Oreochromis niloticus: one gene and its partner. The main gene of each other region encodes a partner of the protein of the gene in region 2 in a complex. Links are inferred from orthologs where the notes say so. Each region holds a gene or a part of one and is shown on either strand. Other genes may lie near its edges. The genes, in order: tradd and ngfrb.

The links.
Region 1: the proteins of ngfrb (region 2) and tradd are in contact, whole or in part, in an NMR structure (PDB 7CSQ), measured with the Homo sapiens proteins. The link is inferred for Oreochromis niloticus from reciprocal best matches to the Homo sapiens genes NGFR and TRADD. Residues at the interface, in NP_002498.1 of Homo sapiens: Glu345, Glu346, Glu348, Lys349, Leu350, Asn352, Gly353, Ser354, Ala355, Glu379, Ala380, Cys381, Arg384, Glu420; in NP_001310481.1 of Homo sapiens: Thr201, Phe202, Asn211, Ala275, Glu276, Arg278, Arg279, Thr281, Gln283, Arg284, Glu287.

What each region holds. Positions count from the first base shown.
Region 1 is NC_031965.2:22,599,033-22,608,871, reverse strand, and holds the start of tradd (tumor necrosis factor receptor type 1-associated DEATH domain protein), read right to left. Parts: upstream 4,515-9,839; 5' UTR 4,387-4,514; intron 4,337-4,386; exon of another isoform or gene 4,257-4,336; intron 1-4,256. Other genes in the region: prolyl 3-hydroxylase OGFOD1, read right to left, coding at 8,306-8,467, 8,548-8,606, 8,684-8,812, 8,901-9,142, 9,222-9,301, 9,622-9,735. UniProt on the Homo sapiens protein: Adapter molecule for TNFRSF1A/TNFR1 that specifically associates with the cytoplasmic domain of activated TNFRSF1A/TNFR1 mediating its interaction with FADD.
Region 2 is NC_031973.2:15,873,303-15,883,200, reverse strand, and holds the start of ngfrb (nerve growth factor receptor b), read right to left. Parts: upstream 3,865-9,898; 5' UTR 3,507-3,864; coding exon 3,453-3,506; intron 1-3,452. UniProt on the Homo sapiens protein: Low affinity receptor which can bind to NGF, BDNF, NTF3, and NTF4. Forms a heterodimeric receptor with SORCS2 that binds the precursor forms of NGF, BDNF and NTF3 with high affinity, and has much lower affinity for mature NGF and BDNF.

The DNA of each region.
Region 1 (9,839 bases), on a different chromosome or scaffold from region 2:
TAACTTTGAGATCACCTTCAATGAGATTCCAACTCACCTGAGATTTTTAATAGATACACCAACGGTCAACCATCGCTTCGTTCTCGAGTTATCACATTATCGCCCAACAAAGGTCCCCCACCCACTCGCTCAGCAGGATAATGAAAATACCCCATCAGCCTTTTACGACTAAGGGGTAAAAACAACTATTACTCAAACACGCATGTCTTTGGACTGTGTGGTGAAACCGGAGCATGCAGAGGCAACCCATGAAGACGTAGGGAAAATGAAACTCCACAGAAAGGCCCCAGCACAGCAGGAGGTTTGAACCCAGTGTAAATCACTGTTCCTCCACCGTCAGCAGGTAATAAAAACGTGGTGAGAGACGTACGTCATTTCAAATTCAGGCTCTAAATTTTTGATCAGTGGTCATTAATTCTACGTCTCATTTTATCTGAAGCAGGAGATTCAGTTTCTAATCGTGTTCACTCAGAGTGATGGGATAATAAACCGTATCACCTCTGCTGACTTAACCGCCTGGACCCAGGGCAGCCAAAATACATCCACCATGTTTCTGGCCTCACTCCACCTTTTTTACCCCAGCTTCCTTCTGAAACCCTCATTACATAAAAACATGTTTAATCTCATCCCTCCCCTCCCCCACTCCAGCCCCTGACTCCTGTGCCCTGGATGAACCGCTGAAACCTGCTGGTGCCGTCTCTATGCATCCTGACTTGGAGCGCTCTGCAGCCAAAGAGGACCCTCTGAGCTGGATTAGGTGCACGTCCTCGCATTTTACTGAATCACAGTATGCTTGGCGGTTAGGTGTACAGGAAACGACTTAGGCAGTATGTAATTATTTGCTATCCTATCAACTGGTACAATGGAAGTATACTGTGAGATTAGTTTAGCAGCTGGATGAGGATTAAGTGATCATCGGGAGCTTAAAATATATAATTCATCCTTTGCTGCCAAAAGCCAACCTCTAGTATTCCCTGGAGAGCTTGTTTGGTGTTTGGGTAACAAAAAAAATTTGATTCAGAAGCATGAATCAAACGAATTCAAAAATGGCTCATTTTGTCCAGTCCAAAAAAATACAAATGATACATTCAGATGACATAAAAGGGTAAAAATGGAAAGTCCTCACATTTGAAAAGCATAAGCAGAAAACATTTCGTAACTCCCCCGACTAAGTTTACAAATGATCATTTTCAATTATAAATGTAGCTTTTTAACATCTACTCGCTTCAATCCATACATAAATATAAGAATAACTGACACTAACTGAGGGCTAATAATTTGTTTAATCATCCCTATAACTGATCATATCCTTATGATGACACAGCATTAAGCAACACTTCTTGCGTTTTTAGTAAAGCTCTCTGTTGGAAAACAAAACATGCCAACTACATGGTGACGCCATGCCATATATCATTCATTCATCTGATGTCAAGTCTGGCAAGAGATTTAAAATGACCAGTAATTCATTTTTTTTTTTGTGTGGGGGGGTGGGGGGGGGGTGGGGGGGTCTAAAAGAAACTTGAAAAATGTGATCACAGGGTCTGCAGGTAACTCTGTTGCATGTGTCATGCCAGAAAAATGTCTTTATTGTCAGGAAAAGACCATCCCTACATGGTTATGTCAACCTGGGGGGAGCATCTTTGACTCAGGTGGTCAACAACCAAGTTGAAGGTCAGTGGTTCAATCCTTGGCATGTCCATTCTACATGCTGTGGTGTTCTTTGACAACATATTAAACCCCAAATCAACCTCCCATGATAATAATCCTCAGCACACCGACAAATCCACAAAGGAAGACCTCAGAGGCAGGAAAGGGAGGGTTATCGTTCCTGTGAAGGTAACACTTGTTACTCAAACATCTTTCAACTGATGGACATGAAGGAAGAGGGGTCAAAAATTCGCATCCCAATGTGAAACACCAGTGGAAAAAATTCATTATTCTTGCTAAGGTGGACAACACAAGCTTCTGTGGCTGAGGGCGTAATTACTTTTTCACACAAATGAATGATGTGGTGAAGCATGCAACCTTTATCTGTAGTCACTGTATCAAAGATCAGAGGTTTGCTCGTCAAAAAGAAAAGCCCAGTTTCCAGAGGATGTACTATGTACTATTTACACAACTGAATATTGATGGAAAACAGCTACAGCTAGGAATACTGATTCCTCATATCCGAAAGATCCTTTCCTTAAAGTAGTTTTAACAGTAACAGTGTGATCTGACCATCCAGAGATATAAAAATGATCTGACTCTGTCAGAGGTTTCACCTTGTGAGAAGTGGGTGGCAAAATCAGAGCCTTCGTGGTCATTCATCATCCGAAGCTTCAGCCTTCTGTGATTAAATCAAGTGGGTTTTTCCGAGGTTACAGTGTTTTTAGTTTCAAGTTCAGTTTGACTTGTTTCTTCGGTGAGCTGCTAGTTAGAGAGGGCAAATTTTCCTCAGCAGAAGTTTGGAAAACTTGAGGCCTTACATGTTGGGAAGGCGCCTCTTTACAGTCAGTATGAATAAGAGGAGCACGTTTTGCATGCAGACCTGTAAGAAGTGACGTTTTTAGTGAAATGACTTGTGTTTTTGATCACCTTAATTTGGCAGACCTTCCAAAAGCATTCCAGTTAACCATAAACTTTGTTTGCAGACTATTTTTGCTCAGGCACGTTTATAAACAGTTTGTAAACTGTAAGTAATGAATTAAGGGGCAAGAAAAAACATTTAACTCCTCTGGAATATCTGAGGTTTCTGAATTGATTCCCAGCAAAATATTATATGGAAAAAAAGCACACTATGACTAATAACACACCAAATCGGTCACACAATCCGAAATTCCTCCTCTTCATCACGAATGCCTCTAAAAACTGCTACAGAAAGCATCTGACGAAAGGCGCGGCTGCTGAAGGCGGCTGTGTCAGTTACTAATTTCAAGAGTTCATTTGTTATTTTCCACCTTCACTGTTTGTTATCTATCTGTTCATAAAGGACACGAAAATGTTTTCAGTTTATTCAGATTTTGTTTTTATCTTATTTTGACTTAGAAGATCAGATCACATTATTTCCAATGTCATCAAAACAGTTGTGAATTTATTTTTCAATTTAGCCTTAGATCCTTTTCAATTTTATGCTGGCATGGTATCAGAAAACCCTCTTCAGCATGGTTCTTGTGTTTCAAGTTAGAACATTCTGATTAGGGAGACACATCCAACGCGCTGTGTGAGGGGTTCATCTCTGAAAACGACCTTTAGCACCTCTGAACTAACTCAAACTTACATTAACAACTGGAGGCTAATTGTGAATAAGCTATTTATCCCCCTGTACATCGAATATGACTAGCACTTCCACTATAGGTCGAGTATGGATGACTAGGGTAAACATGCGGAATGAAGCTGACTTAAAATAATGGTTCCTACACCAGCAGCCTGAGCCATGGATCCATGCTTTTATGTCAAATTCTGCCCCTACCATCTGAATGTTGGAGTAGAACTGTGAACTGTAGCCTCGGTCTCCTGATCGTAGCTAGGGTGGCACTCGCTGTGGTATTCTGCTGCTGGTATGGTCTTGTGCAGCTGCAGCCTATTTGCTTCCAAGTTGGATGTGCTATGTTTTCATAGATGCTCTCCTGCATACCTTTGTTGTAACTAGTGGTTATTTCAGTTGCTGTTAATTTCCTATGAGCTCAAAGCAGTCTTCCCATTCGCCTCTATCATCAACAAGGCCATGTGATTGGCTGATTAGATATTTGCGTTAAGAACAAGTGTATCCAATAAAGTCGCCGTTAAGTGTATAATAAATACGTACATCACGTTTACAGCTTTAACTTCTAAAGTCAGGCAAGCCAGAAAAAGTTAGAGATCCACTGAACTATGAGCAAAACAATAACAAATGTTGCTATCTGAGGATATTTTATGACATTTGTTTCCTAGCTTAAAGTAACAACAAAACCTTCGATTACAGCTTATAAACTCATCATAAATGAAGCCTTACAGAAACAACAGAAAAACACACCCAGAGTTTACTCAAATTATAGACTATGTAACTTTAATGTCAAAGCTATAACTGTTGTCCAACTTTAAACTAGGGGACGTGGTTGCTATGCGACCCGTACGTACAGGTGAGCTAGCTGATTACCTTCATAACAGTTTGACAGCTGCATTGGTTTGAGTCAGAACACCGCAAAGATAGCTATTCCGTTTTAAAATGTCAGTGCCTTATACTGAAAGGGATGGAGGTTACTGTGAGAAATGTCACGCAGAATAGATAGAGCTACCGTAAAGCTGCGAGCAGCCACGCCGCTGAAGCGGCCCAAAGCCTCGGGAAGCCCGCACGCCTAGTTTCTGCCTAGGAGGTCCTTTGATTCACCGTGAAGTAACACTTTGATAAGCTCGGCTCAAACTTACCTTAAAACTTTGTTAAAGTGTTTGGTAACGCTTCCTTCTGTGGAATCACACAGACAGTATGAGCTTCCTGGCTTCCCATTGGGTGAGCAGCAACCAAGCTGCGTTCTGATTGGTGGAAATCAACGAGGAAAATCGTGACGGGAAGGAAGTGTTTTTTTGTGTGTGTGTGGTTTTTTTTCTTTTTAACGTAAACGTTCAGTTTACATGTAGTTCAACGAATCCCGTTACGAACAGTTGTATCTAGCATTTAATCATAAATTTGAACCTGAACCAAAACGCTCAAACATTAAAGAACTGAAACACTTTACTGGCTCTTTGACGAGTCTAATTTCTCACTGTGGTCGCTGGGTTTTTGTGTGTTAACAGATTTAAACAGCTGCTGGGGAAAACCAAAACAATGCACTAGGCATATTTGCATAGTCCCACTGACAGACAAAAACGGTGCAGGGGTGCAAAGGTTTCCCGGAAATTTAGACACAGGTGAAACTGATCTAAGAAATCTAATCAAAAACATTAATCAAATGTAACTTTTATGTCATTTATGAACAAATATATCTGCTGGCTTCAGCTTTTAAGTTTTATTTGGTTTAAATATATTTGTTTTGGGGGGACTTTTAGCCTAACACAACTAAATCTGAATGTATATAGTCCTGTGCAAAAGTCTTGAGCCAACAGCTCATTATATTTTGTATAGTAAGAAAAATGTTGTTTTAAGATAAATATAACAACAAAACGATCAAAACATAAAGACAACCAAAAATAAAGGTTACCAAGTTACAGCAAGTCTAAAAAAGTGAGTTTTTAAACTACTTTTTAATGAAAACCACAGAGTCTGGAGGATCTCAGAGCACCACTGTGGCAAAAACTCTGTCTCCTTTAGTCCTCACCCTGATCACATGATGTCTAGAACCTGCTGAAGATGTATGGATGTAAAAGTTTACTGATCTACACTAATGTTTGTCCATGAAACACTCAACATGTAACTAAATTAGTAACAGTGTGACGTGTCGGTACTTAAAACACTTTTGCAGTGGCGAACACAGAAGCTTTGTTAAGCCAACAGAACAAGGAATTCCTATCATTCAGATGCAATGATATAAATGCATGAATATTAATTTCCAACTTAGAGCATGACACTATTGAAGAGCGAACCAGAGATTTAATGTGGACATCTAAAGTGAAAGCTGCATCAAAAGTTACCCCACGGTTCCTAATAAAAGATTTAATAAATGTGGCATAGTTTCCAATATCTTAGACACAAATCTGCCAGGGGCACAAACAAGGATTTATGTTTTTCTTCAATAAGTTGGAGAAACTTGTCAGTCATCAAAATTCTGAAAGAGTCTACGCACCTATGCAATCTCTGTAACTTAGAAACACATTGGGGCTTAAGAGGTATATAACAGAATGTCATCTGCATAACAGTGATAAGGAATGTCCTTAAAAGCATTCAAAATGTGCTGAAGAGAGAGCAGGTATAACAAAAACAATCAAGGCCCCCAAACTGAGCCTTGCAGCAAACATTGTGGCAAGCAAAGGGGTAGAAGGCCTTCAAGACCTCAAGGAGTCATACTTTCTTGTATTTTTTAGTGGTCTTGAGGAACAGTTCTCTGGGCTTTTTGAAGGTCTTTTTTGTCTGTTTTTTGTTTTGTTACGACACTTAACACTGAGCTTAAAATAAAATCTGGGGAAACTGAGCAAGTGGAGGATAAATACTTAAAATCAGCAACAACAGGTCTTGAGGAGATCAATCCAAATTTCAATTGTTTTTATTCAAATGGTCGTCAATATGTATGGAGAAGATCAGAAATGAGTTAGAACAATGGTTGGCAGAGGCTCTGTCGTGGTTGGGACTGTATTTTAGCCAGTGGTGCAGGAGATCTTGTTAAAATTGGTGGAAATATGAATGCAGAAAAGTTCCAGCACATTTTGATCCACCATGCAAAATCATCTCGAAAGCATCTGATTGGCAGCATCTTGACAATGATCCCAAACATACTGCTGATGCAATAAGAGCATACTTAGATAAAAAGCATTATCAGCAATGGACTGGCTTTCCCAGAGCCCAGACCTCAATCTTATTGAAGCAGTGTGGGATCATGTTGACAGAGAATCAAACAAAATGGCTTTGAAAGTCCTCCAAGAATCCTGGAGAACTATTCCTGAAGGCTAGTTAAAGAAATGATCATCAGAATCAGAATACTTTATTAAACCCTAAGGAAATGATGCGGGTTACAGTTGCTCCAAGACAATAACAGTAACAGACTAAACTAATTAAATAATACAATATATTACAAAGTTTACAAATTTAAGAAATAGCACGAATATATACAAATCACTCAATTATAAATATCAAGAATATTACAGAGGTGAAATATATATATGATTGACATTTAACTCTAACCTGTGAAACTTTGTCATTTGTTATTTTACTGTAGAGAATGTGCAAAAGGGTGTAACTATTGCAGTGTGTACTGTGTATTAAATGGAGGAGTTGTACAGGAATGATTTCCTGTGTTGTAAATAAATGGTGGCTTTTACACAGAACTGCAACTTGTTCTTCTGTTTGGCATCATTAGAGTAAAAAATAAAATAAATCTAAAATAACTCTTTTAGCAAGTTCTAAGGAACCAGAGTGGTACTCCTCTTCCAGGCACAGGCAGACCACAGATAATAAGATCAGATAAGACCAGATAATCAACACAGTTAATCTAGAAACATTGTGAAAAGTTTATTTTTTGTAATGTTTTAAAATGTTTTACCCAAGCAATGTACAACGCTGGGCAACGAGCTTTCATAAATGTTTTATCGCATTTTTTTTGCATGTGTCAGAAATCTATTTAAACCCTACCATATTAAAAAGGTAACACACAAAAGTGAACAGCCCCCACAGATTCTCTGTCAGGAAATTTACAATTTGGATTCTTGTACATTTACTCTAGCCAGTAAAGGTGAAGGTAACACGCCTAAATGTTGGATGTCCACTGCTTAAAAGGAAGGATAAGATGAATCAGCTCCCGCGTGCTTGACAGATATAACAGCATGGATACATAAACAGTATAAAAGATTGATAAAGGCACTCTGATGCCATCTGTTGGTTTTGTGAATTCCTGCCCTGAAGCCTCAAGATGAGCATTTTCGCAGTCGCCGTCTTGCTATTTTTGAACCATTTTTGAAACGAGCACATGGTGGAATTAACTGTCAAAATGAGGGTTACTGCACAATCACAAACAACTTGTGATTAAGCAGGTTGCTAGCTGGCAAGCATACCCTGGATTATGCTCCTTTATAACTATAATAATGACCATTCACAAGATGAACTTCATGTTTCATACTGTATGACCTGAAAATAGCAACTGAACCCATAAAAGTGTTTACTGAGGTCACAGAGTGAGGGGGGGCCGAGGGCCTTTTTCTCATAAAAGTGAATACAACCTGAAGTCTTCTTGGAAGCAGAGGAGTCGCCCCCTGCTGACCATTAGAAAGAATGCAGGTTTAAGACAGAAGTTGGGATTACTTTTCAGACACAGTAGCGCCATCATAAATATGGCTTTTCTGTTAAAAAAAAAAAAAAAGATTTTGTCAAGTTTTGTTAGGCCTGAATGCAGCGCAGGTGCACACGCTATGCTGGTGAGTGGTTTTGAATATAGCAAGGAGAGCCATTTTCATTTTTTTTTCCAGATTTCTGCAACTTTAGCGAATAATATAGGCAACTTTTTAAGGTGGCCCCTATACCATAAGACTATTACAGAGGCCTGCGTTAAAATCTACACCAAGGTTGTTTTGTGCGTGTCTTTTTCCCAGCTTTTCTGTCTTCTCCCCACTGTCCTATTGCAATAATGAGTGGAGTGAGTGGAGTTCATCTCCCAGTGTAAATGCACCCCCCCACACGCACACACTTAAGTAATTATATACATATTTATTCATAGTAGACAAAAGAAAAGTCATAAAACTCTCTGCAGGTGGAGCTGCCATCAGGCTCGGAGGTGCTTTTGTGGTTGACGTGTTTGACGAACTTGAGGGTCTCTTTGTCTCTGTAGACGAGTGCGAGTGAATTGTCCTCCGGGTAGACGGTCAGAAGCTGTGAAGAAAGCAGTGATGATGACTGTTGAAGCAACATCCGCACATGTGCGATTACACGTCAAATTAATCAGCACTCACCTCCTCATCCTCTTCATTAGCCACATAACACGTGAAGCCGCCAAACTCTGACTGCCAGCCTACGAGAGAGAATTAAAAGTTCAGTACAGTCACACTGGTGTCCGACAGTTCGTTCTTCCGCTGGGTGTGAACTCACCTGTGCAGCCGAAAGGCAAAACGAGGTCCAGCGCGTATTCTGCCCGCGCGGCCTCTCCATCGTGCAACAGGGTGTAGCCACCGCGAGACCATCGGCGTACTTCCCCACAGCACAAAGGGGTGCTCGGCTCTGAAAATACACAGAGGTCAAAACACACGAACAGCAGCGGCAGCGGCAGCGGCTGCGGCTGAATGAAAGCACTCACAGCGACGCACACCTTTCTCTCTGCTCGCATCTGCTGAGGACGGTTCATTTGACGACCCCGTGGCTTCTCCATCATCTTGCTGCTTTTTAACCTTCTCTTCATCGTCATCCTCTTCGTCGTCAGCCGGGCAGAGATAGTGCAATCGAAGGCCAGTGAAGTTGGAGAGGAGCAGGAAGAATGCTTCTGAATGAAGCAGCTCCCAGCATGCACTCACACACTGAGGCAGCGAGTCCAGAGCAGCTGCTTCATAGCACCTGAAAGCACACAGGTTATTAACAAATACAAAAAAAAATTAAATACAGAGTGCTACTTTAAAGAGTCAAACATACTCACCTCTTATTGGGTGGACCTCTCTTCTTCCACTCAATCTGAGAGAGCCGAAGTGCTTCACTCACCTCTTTGAACTTCTCCTCCTGAAGACAAACGCATAATCACTCAGCGGAAACAAATGAACACAGGAAAGACACGACACCAGTGCCAGCTCTGCTCTGATGCCTTTTTGAAAAGCAGAGCACAATGGATACTTGGAAATTGTCTCATTACTCAGTGTTGTGCAGCTAAAGCCGAGGTACTTTCAGTGTGGAAAAAAAAATCATGCGTGCTTCATCTGCAAATCATCTGTGAGTAAGCATTTCCAGCTTTGGGAACTACATTTCTATGGTGCAATGTCCGGAAACCGTTCTGAAAAAAAGCTGCAGCGCTGCGTCGGTGGAAAAGAGTTTTTATAAGTTACCTTGAGAAATCCTTTGAGCTGAATTTCAGAGCTGTCTTCAAACTCCTCCTGAATCTGCTCTTGATAAGAAATGTCCAAATAGATGGGATTGATCCACTCCAGCAGCACCGTTTCCTGCCACAAACACAAACAGCAAACAGATGAGAAATCAACTGATGCTCACAACTGATTAAAAAAAGCTCACGCTGGAGCCTGGGTATAGCTAGATTTGCATACAG
Region 2 (9,898 bases):
CTGGCATCTGCTTAGGTTTATTTTGGAAGGGCTAAAACTAGTTTGGTCATGGGGCCAATGAGGACCCCGAAGGAAAGCGGGAAGAAAAATCAGAACAGTTGTGAGATGATTAATGGCAAAGCCTCACAAAACGGTCCACTTTCCACAGTCCCTTTTTCTGTTTTCTCTGCTTTCGTGCAATACTACGTTTTCTTTTCCTTGTCTGGCTTCAAATAAAAATAAATTGTAGAAACAAATAATTCTCTGGTTAAACTGCTTACATTTTTTGACACACGGGATCTGTAACTCGAGGTCACAAAGAGGTCCTGCTTTGTTTTTTTAAAACGGTCACATGCAAGTTTAAGATGCGAAGGCATTTATAAAGTGCCAGTACACAAAATAACACATCCTCACAAAGATAAAGCTGGTCCTTTCTACATTCTTCAAATAACAACCTGTTGAGTGCGTTATCAAAGCTGCTGACAGGTAAAGACATCTGTGTGTGCCTCTGCTCGGGCATAAATAAATGCATGACACTCAGGCTTGAGCCAGGACGTGTCTCTACATCTTACTACAACTCTTAAGACCTATGAGTGTGCATGGCCTTTGACATTATATCTAATAGCTAAATCTTTGCTTTCTTCTGCTCACCTTAATCTCTAAAGCAAACATGACAGAGTTACATAATAACAAAGCTTTATGTTTTTCTTCTCCCCATATACATGATGATTTTTAAGCTGATATGTATGAAATCAGGACTGTCTGCTGTAAGCCAGTGTATTGCTTATGAGTTATCCCATTAGTCATAGATGAAGGGTGTAAAGAAAATTGTGTCTCAGCCTTGTTAGACCACATTAAAACAATTTTTAAGGAGTTTTTTTGTTTTTACTACTAAATGTAAGTCAGATACAGCAAATATACTTAGAGAGGATGGATGTGAGTATGTTGACGGAGGTATTTTTGCGAAGGAGGTACAATCGCCTGACAGGCGTCAGGGTTCAGGTGTGTGTGGAATGTTACTGACGAGAGAAAGGAGCTCCACGAAACATCAAATGTCCCCTCGAGCACCTCCACTGAGTCAGCTGGCAGATAATGTCCATGAGTGTGTGGATGGGTGTGAGCATGTACGCTTTCCTTTGGACCTACACAAACACACACTCTCTGTTGCTCTCAACGGTGTCATGGTTCATTGACCTTCAAGTCTTTGGTATTTAATTTTACATCCTCTAAATCTTCAAGAATGTTTTCAGCCTCGTGCAGGAACTTTTTATTTGAAATGTTCCATTAAAAAAATGCCTGGTTAGTTTGATTCCTCTATTATTTTCATGAAAGTGCACAAACTCTGGGAAACAAAGACAGTTTATGTTCATCGAGTGAAGCTCCTAATTCTCCCGTGACTGTTGTAGCACCAAGTTTTCTCTGCGTGACCTGCAACACTTTCTCCATGCGATGAGTTTAAGCCTCCAAAATGTTTTACTTTGTAGCTTCCTCACAACTTCAAAGCCCTCGCTCTCTTTTCCTCACAGCTCGCAGCTCACGCTCTACCTCACGCTCACCTTTCCCATCTGCACGCGTTCATCACTCTACAGTAGCTACTTCCCCTGAGCTGCGCTCCACACACTCCCGACCAAACATTCACATTCGTGCAAACACATTAACAAACCTTACATGTGAACAAACCTGTTCCAAAAGTCAAACTGACACCTTTGAAATGACTCCAAGTTCCAGCATTTTGACAACTGCGTCTTTTTTTGTTGTTGTTGGGTTTTTTTACCCTAGCTCCAGGTGAGGGTGTGCGGCACCAAGATGTCTCAAAGACAAATAACCGAGATTAAAGTGCATCAGTAATGTCTGCTGGGCTGTGCAAACAGAAGAATTACAGGGCAACGCAATTTTCAGCATACGGCTTGAGCAATAGAAAAAAGGAAAAGGATGCAGGGCACTGAGCAAGTTGCAGCTCGACTTGCACGTTTCCTGCTTTTTGGATGGAAATTTGTGGGCTGCACTCTTCAACTTTTGTCAGCCAATTTCCCTGAAGCAAAATCAAGAAGTAAGAAGAACACACACGCACGTGCACACACGAGCACACACACAAATGAATGCACAGAAGCATCTGGACACACCACTTTCAATGCTCCAACCAATCTTACTAATGCAACAGTCAATTTTCAGTTGGAGGCACTTAACCTCTAGACCTCAGCTGTCAGCACTTGTTAAGCCATTAGAGTTCCACTAAACCAGCCTTCCAATAAACTGGGCCTAATTTTAATCCAGACGTGGACCCTAAACTGCTGTTGGCCCACTGGGTGCCGGTGACACCACAACCCCATGCGTTCGCAAACAAAGCTGAATCATCACTTCATGGAGCGAGAGGCAAAGGGAGAGAAACAGACAAGAGGCGAGCCAAGTGAGTGTGTAAGGGGGAAAGGAGGAGAGGAAAAGTGAGGGGGCTGGGAGTGGGTAGGAGGGTGGTTCAGACTCTATCAATATTACATGTGCTGAGCCAGCAGAGGATATATACCCATCAGTAGGAGCAGCTGTCACGTATCAGTGATGCAGCCGGCTCCAAAAACCAAGACCTGGACAAGCTCACGGCACAGGCTGACCGTGTCCATGTAAAGTACACTTTTGCATAGTTTTCATGAATCCTCATAAGGTGGTGGATTTTCTGTCCCTCTCCCACATATTCGTGTTTTCCCCGTCTCCCTCCCTCTATGTTTACTTCCATCTCCTGCATCTGTTTGCTTTTGCCTCTGTGTAGCTTCATCTTCCAGGCCTTCGCAGTGGTGAGAATCTGTGCATCGCCCAGTAATCGCCCTAAAGATCATGCTTAATGTTTAACTTCCTGTATGCCCATTATCACAAGTTTGCCTCACAAACTCAGTAAATCAAGGAATTCACCAAAGTTAAACCAAACCCGGGCTTTACTGGTGATCTCCTCCACAGAGCCCACTGTGACATTGTTATTGTCCTGCTGTCTGTGGAGCCACATGTAACTGAGAAGGGTGGAACTACAGATCCACAACTGAGGCTATAGAGTATCAACCTGAATGGCTCCTGCATACATCCATTCTTGCTTCACAATGTCAAGCCAGGGCTGCGGGTGGGACAGGTGCAGAGACACGAACGTGTGCTGTTTTAAGCACCACAAATACCAGTATCATCTAACATGACCGGGACTTTAAATCCCAGAGAGAAAAGTAAAGATTTTCCGAAAAGTTTTCTCTCAAAAAGTGAAGGGCGTGACAGGCTGGATGGGAAGCAAAAATATTAATAAAAAGAAAAGAAAACACGTGAAAGAAAGAAAACCTCCCCCACACACTCGCACCAGCTTTTAACCACCTTCTAATGGGACTATGTTGATGCGCAACTGGGCATGCTTTTTGCGCACGATGTGACAGGGAAAAATGTAACCAGGTGAAGTTGACGGCAAACATTTAACACCCACGATGATTATGTCAGAGAGTACTCACCGCTCCAAGCAACACTGCTACGAACACGCAATACATTCTGTGTCTTGTTTGCATCTTTCGAGGAAGGTCAGCCGTCGGATGCAGGGCAGAGTGATGCAGTCTTTAGTCTGCAGTGAACTCGGTTGTCATTATTGTGTCTTTGCAAATCTTTTGGATTCTGCTGTTAGAGTAGGAGGAATATAAATAAGAAAATGTCCGAGTAAGTGAGCTGTGTCAGGTGTGAAACCCGCAGCGGGAACTCACTAAGTCCGTGAGCCCTAGCTGCAGATGCGATCCACTCGCTGAGACTGACCCATCGGATTCACGCCTGCGTGCGCTTCTTTCCTCCTACAGCGTTTCATCTGGCAGAAGCGCTCAGCGGCTTCAGGGAAGGGCCCGTCTCCCTCTCCACGCCCACAATGTGCGCACACACACATACACACACGAACTAGCGCTCTCCTTCTCTTTTTTAAATGGTTAAATTACGTGGTAGTTGCTGTTGAGTCGAACCAACCAAGTGTTTAAAAACCAGACTGCCTCCCGTCTAAATGAGTCTCCTTTGAAAAACTTCTGAAAGGAAGACATCCATCAGACTGAAAACAGAAGTCCTCTCAGTCACACGGATGTACACCCTCTGATGTCTGCAGCAACATCCACGCTAATGATGCACAACCCAAACAACCAACCAACAAACAAACAAATAAAAAGTTAACTTTAATGAGAGTCGTCTGTCCCAGAGGTGTCAAATATAAAGCTGGGGGGCCAAAATCAGCCCAGCAAAAACTCCAATCCGGCCCAATGCACAGCCTTGGATCAAGAGGAGGGCATAAGTTTTTGGACTTTTTAACTCTATTTTCCATTTTCTACAGCTGCTGATAACGACCTGGGCATTCATTCATATTACAACAGAGTAGATAGATTAACAATTAAAAAACAGAAACTTTCCTGTTTTTTCGCTACTGTAGAAATTTCTGGGTTTTTTTTGTTTTTTGTTTACCGTCAGTGCACGGTGTATTTTTTTTAAAATGAGGCATTGTCTGTAAACTAACAAGAACTTTTTGTTTTCTAATTACAGGACAGTCTGGGCAATAAGCTACCAGAACCTTTTCTGCAATGTAACGATTGATTTCTTACAATTTATGCCAAAAGAGTCACAATGGCACATTACTGGTCCAGCCCAGATCAAAGTGGGCTGAATGCAGCCCATGATGCACAGTGAGTCTGACTCTATCACATCACATGAAAATCACTTCTTTTTTTTATGTGACTTATTTAAAACTCATGTTAAATTATTTATCATCTGGAGAGAAGTGGAATGAGAGGATTGCTCTTCTGAGAAACACTGCTGCCTTTATGCATAAGAAGAGGTGATGTACTGTTGGAGACTCCTGAGGCAAAAAAAAAAAAAAGATGGATTCAAATCGTGACAATACATGTTTAAAGCGCCGTAGCAGCAGAACAGGCTTCAGTAATGGCAGAGATGTTTATAAGTTCTGTAAGTAGATGTTTGTGCAATATCCTCACTTACTTCAAATCCCCGAAGCAAAATAAATTATATTGTAACTCTCTTTTTTAATTGGGTTCACTTGACTCAACACTTGACAAGTTAAAGGGCATTGAACTATACTTGTGACTCATCCAGTATGGTTCCCAGAATTGTAATAAAGCTCATTAGGGAGCATAATTGAGATTATTCATTTAACTCTTTAAACTCTTTCTTTTAAAATTTGTGATGTGAAACAGCTCATTAATAAATAATAAAAATTGCAATACCGGTCTCACTCATCTCCCAGTGTAGGTATTGATCACGGTAAAGGTCATATTCATCAATATTGTACTTGAACTCTTTGACTTCACAGTTGGAAATTATTATGTAATGATGATGGAATGCATGCAGATCTGTTCTTGTACTGACTTTAATATCCATGTTAAAAGTTGTTATGAAAATATAAACGTCTAATCAGAAAAATTACATGGCAGCAGCCCAAAGCATCTAAGCAAAAAGACATGGTCAGACACGACCTGCTGAAGTTAAAGCTGAGCACCAGAATGAGGAAGTAAGGTGATTTAACTGACTTTGGTTGTTGGTGCCAATCAGACTGGTCTGAATATTTCACAAACTGTTGATTTACTGGGATTTTCCCACAAAACGATCTCTAAGGTTTACAGAGGGTGGTCTGAAAAAGAAAATATATCCAGGGGATTTTTTCTTGGCACTCTTTGGACCACTTTAGCAACAGCTGAGCGTTGTTTGAACACCACAGCCGACCTAAATATTGTTGCTGATCATGTCCATCACTTTATGACCACAGTGTACGGATCATCTGATGGCTGCTTCCAGCAGGTCACCAGATCTCATTCTAATAGAGCACCTCTGGGATGTACCGGAATAAGAGTCACAGCTGACAAATCTGCAGCAACTGTGTGATGCTGACATGTTAGTATGGACAAAAATCACGGAGGAATATTTCCAGCACCTTGTTGAATCTATGCCATGACAAACATAAAAGGCAAGCCAACGCGGTAGTAGAAAGGTATAACTAATGTAGTGGCCAGAGAGCATGCCTGAGAAACTTAAACTCCTAGTTTTTGAATATGTTTAAAAATTGGGAGTGATGCTTTCACCTTACATATCAATTTGAAGTGACTGTGATTTATATAGAACAGGAGGGCAGTGGGGGACAGGAGGGGCTTGGGGGGGGTGAGGAGAGAGAGAGGAAGCTGGTTTGCTCTGAGAGATAAATAATGCATGAATGCAAAGAGAGGGAGAAGAGGGGGAGAGAGAAACAGTGAAACACACAAAGAGAAAGAAAGAAAATCTATGATGAAGGCCAAAGTATCTAGATCAAATTTACAGCATGCTCTCTGTAGTTTATGAAGACAATCAGAACTTGTTCCACCAAAAAAATCAAACACAGAAATGGTTTCTTTGTGCTAACATGAAGACCACTTATATCAGCAGCACTCAGATGAAGAATGCCTCAAACAGCCACTTTAATAGGAGATTAAATCCTTCTGCTGGCTATTTAAAGGGGGCTTAACTCATTGGTAACACATTTAATAAGGGGATTTATGAGTACTTAAGACTGACATAAATTATTAAACAGAAAATGAACAAAAATATTGAAAGACATTTTATAAAAGCTGTTGTAAAATGCTCGATGATTTCAAGGACATAGTCAACGTGGCAAAAAGATAGAAAAAAAATAGAAGCTGTGCTGAGTTCATTTATGATCATTTTAAATGTGTCGCTGTTAAATTTTTAGTTATTCTTTATGTCGCCTGTTTTGTTCTGAAAGGTTCACTTGCATCGTGGGTCCGTGTTTGTTTTATTTGCAGTCTTTCATTGATTTCTTTAGTTCTCAGCTTAGTTTCGCATGTGTTCGGTTAGTTCACAGTGTATTTATGGTCCAGCCTGTCTCTTATCATTTTGTCAGCTCTCCCTCCGTACTTCCTCTTTTCTTTACGTTAGTTTCTTTAATTTTTTCATCTCATTTTTTGGGTGTTCTGGTTCTTTTTCTGGTTTTGGACCACCAGCTGCCAGTTCTTGTACATTTGGGCCTCGTTTTGCATCCAACGAGTAATCATCCATGTTTTTTTAATACTTCTTGCCCAGTACATGTCTTTTTCATTTTTGCGGAAATGTACATCATAATGAGTTGGAGGGAACTGCAACCAGTCAAGTTAAAATTTGCATGTCTGTGTTCAGTGGCGGTCCTAGCCTGTTTGCCGCCCTGGGCGAACACTCCCTCCGGCCTGTAGCTGTCTGGTAGCAGAGATGACAATAAAGTTTACTTTGACTTCAGCAGCAAGCAGGCGCACCGAGGGCTCTCACGCTCACTTTTCGCACATAGAATTTCGAAAAAACATCGGTGCAAATTATAAGTCTGTATCATAATGTCTGGTGTTTTCGTGTTTGTTGGTTTGTTTTTATTTTGTTTTATTTTGCGGGTTGGTTATTAAATGCTGCTCCATCCAGCCAGAGAATCTGCCGCAGGCAGCAGGCACACCTCGCAAACGGAGGGCGCCCTTACTCCCAGCAAATGGGCGGCAGAAAACCGATCGGTGCCTATGCCATTCCCAATATGTGCTGGCTGATGTCGGGGCAGCATGAGTACGAGCAATTTTTATTTAGTTTTTTTGCCGATGCCCGTGATGCCGCCCCCACCACGATGCCGCCCCGGGCAACCGCCCGTGTCGCCCGTATCAAAAACCGCTACTGTCTGTGTTATTTTTGGAGCATTTTCAGGTCAAGTTCGCCAGAAGTGTAAAAAATAGAGGTTTATGAAATGTGCTTGTGTGAAAATAAGAAAAAGAAAAAGAAAAGAAAATGCCTTCAGTTTGTCACATGGACAGAGACAAAGATCTAGATTCAGATACACAACGATGCAAAGTTTTTCTGCAGGGCCGGGAACAGAATGCTTTTTTTGGAACCTGAGAAGGGACAGCAAATGTCTCCTGGACCACCCGTCCAGGACACCCGTGTGTTCTCCTCCAGCTCCCAAACACATACTAACTCACTGCACAGTCACTGTTTTTCTCCACCAGCACCACCTGAGAAGAGTACAGCACCTGTCATTCCTACATTAGCAGCAGCACCGAAGTACAAACAGGCTGGAGATGAGCTCCACAGTCTGGTTGCGAGCTTTCCTTCTAATGTACTGTAATAGCTGGAGAGGCATCATATAACGAGCCAAGCAAGCCCTCGAATTACTCTGAGAGCACTCACACCAATATGGGAGTGATATCAAGTTGTCTTTTGTGAGGAGACATTCATAGCACCGCAGTACTTCCCTGTTACATCATGCCTTTCTCTCTAAATCAACAAAACACCATCATCATGTGAAGCAAGAGTTGAGCTTGTGCAGATACTCTTAATTTCATTGTGTGCCTTCTGTGGGGATCAAATGATTAAACTTGTGTTAAAGTGGATCTTTTTAGAGCACCCAGATGGCAACAAACCCAGCTTGTTCCCACGAGACTCCCTCATCTGCACAGTATTGATCTGATCTGGGTACTCTTCTCTCTCTTGATTGTACACCCTGTCAAGCCTCTGTTCACTAGCTGCCACATCTCATAGAAAAAAAGTCAATAAACATCTCCACACCACACTCCTGGTGTAAAAGAAATAACCAAAATATACATGATTTTTTTTTTTCCTTTTTAACATTTTCAGCCTGCTTACTTCCTTCATTAGACATTCATCTGAAAACTATTATGACTAAATATGTCTTATCACGAGGTTTACCCACATTGCTACAACATCCACAGTGAATGAAGTTCATTCATTGTCAATTTTTGCACCAAAACAAGTAGGCAAGCAGGAATTCCACCTTGTCAGTGACACATTAAAGGTATACATACCTCTATGTCAAAATTTTGTCCATGCATGTGCTCTGATGGCCACAGTTCAGTCTGGCACAATGTCTGTGCATTTACATTTGTGTAAAACGTGTTTGCTCATCCCCATTAATAAGAGCATTATTCGCTTCCCTGCTGATGCACTGAAGAGAGCAGGCGATGTGGGGACTTTTGGGGGGTTGAATTGGCCTTTGTATTGATCGGGTTTGCACAGAGCTGAGCCTCGGGCTGATGACTGTCAGTGCAGTCCATTATGCATTCAGATATGAACTGAATGATGTGCTCATAGATGCAAAAGTAAACCTGCTCTCTACAGACATCAAAGTTTTTAAAAAAAAACAAAACAAAACGCTTTCAGAGCCTTTTTGGATAAGGATCACAAAATATTTCACAACAACAGTCACAAGTAATAAACATAAAATTAAAACATAGTAATATCTACTGGTTAAAAGCAATCTGTAAGAGTAAGTCTTGAGCTGCTGTACATACTATAAGCAAAGGTATTAGACAACAGGGGCAGTTACAGTGTCACACTATTCCTAAAAGTGATGCAACAGCACAAGTACGACTTGAATTTAACCTGAAACATAAAAACAGCCTTTTTATGCAGCTGGTAAAGGGTTCTGCAACCACATGCATGTTCTGCATTCCCGTACCAGACCTCACACTATTCACAGCTCCGTATGTCGGCTGTTCCTCCTTATCTGGCTCGTCACACAGATGGCAAACACCAAAAATAGAGGTGGTTTTAGGTTAAATCAGATTATGGCTGGATTATAACAACGCTAGTTAAAGTTTAGAGTTAGTATGTCTGCATGATTGAAGAACAGACGTGCTATAAATTATAATAACATACCTTCAGTTCAGATTAGAGACTAACTGCCTTTTTATTTTAACTTTTAAGGGAAGCCATCCTGAACTCGTCTGTGAGCTTGTAAAGCAAAGACTAAAATCAGCAAGCAAGAGCTCTCTGAGCTCTCTGACTGTATGAATGTTGCTTTGTGAGAGTGTTCCCACTTCAAGAGGTTTTCAGGTTTCTTGTTGCGACTAACATTATTGGTAGATTCAAATTTCAACTGCTAAGATTTAAATGCTTATGAACAGCC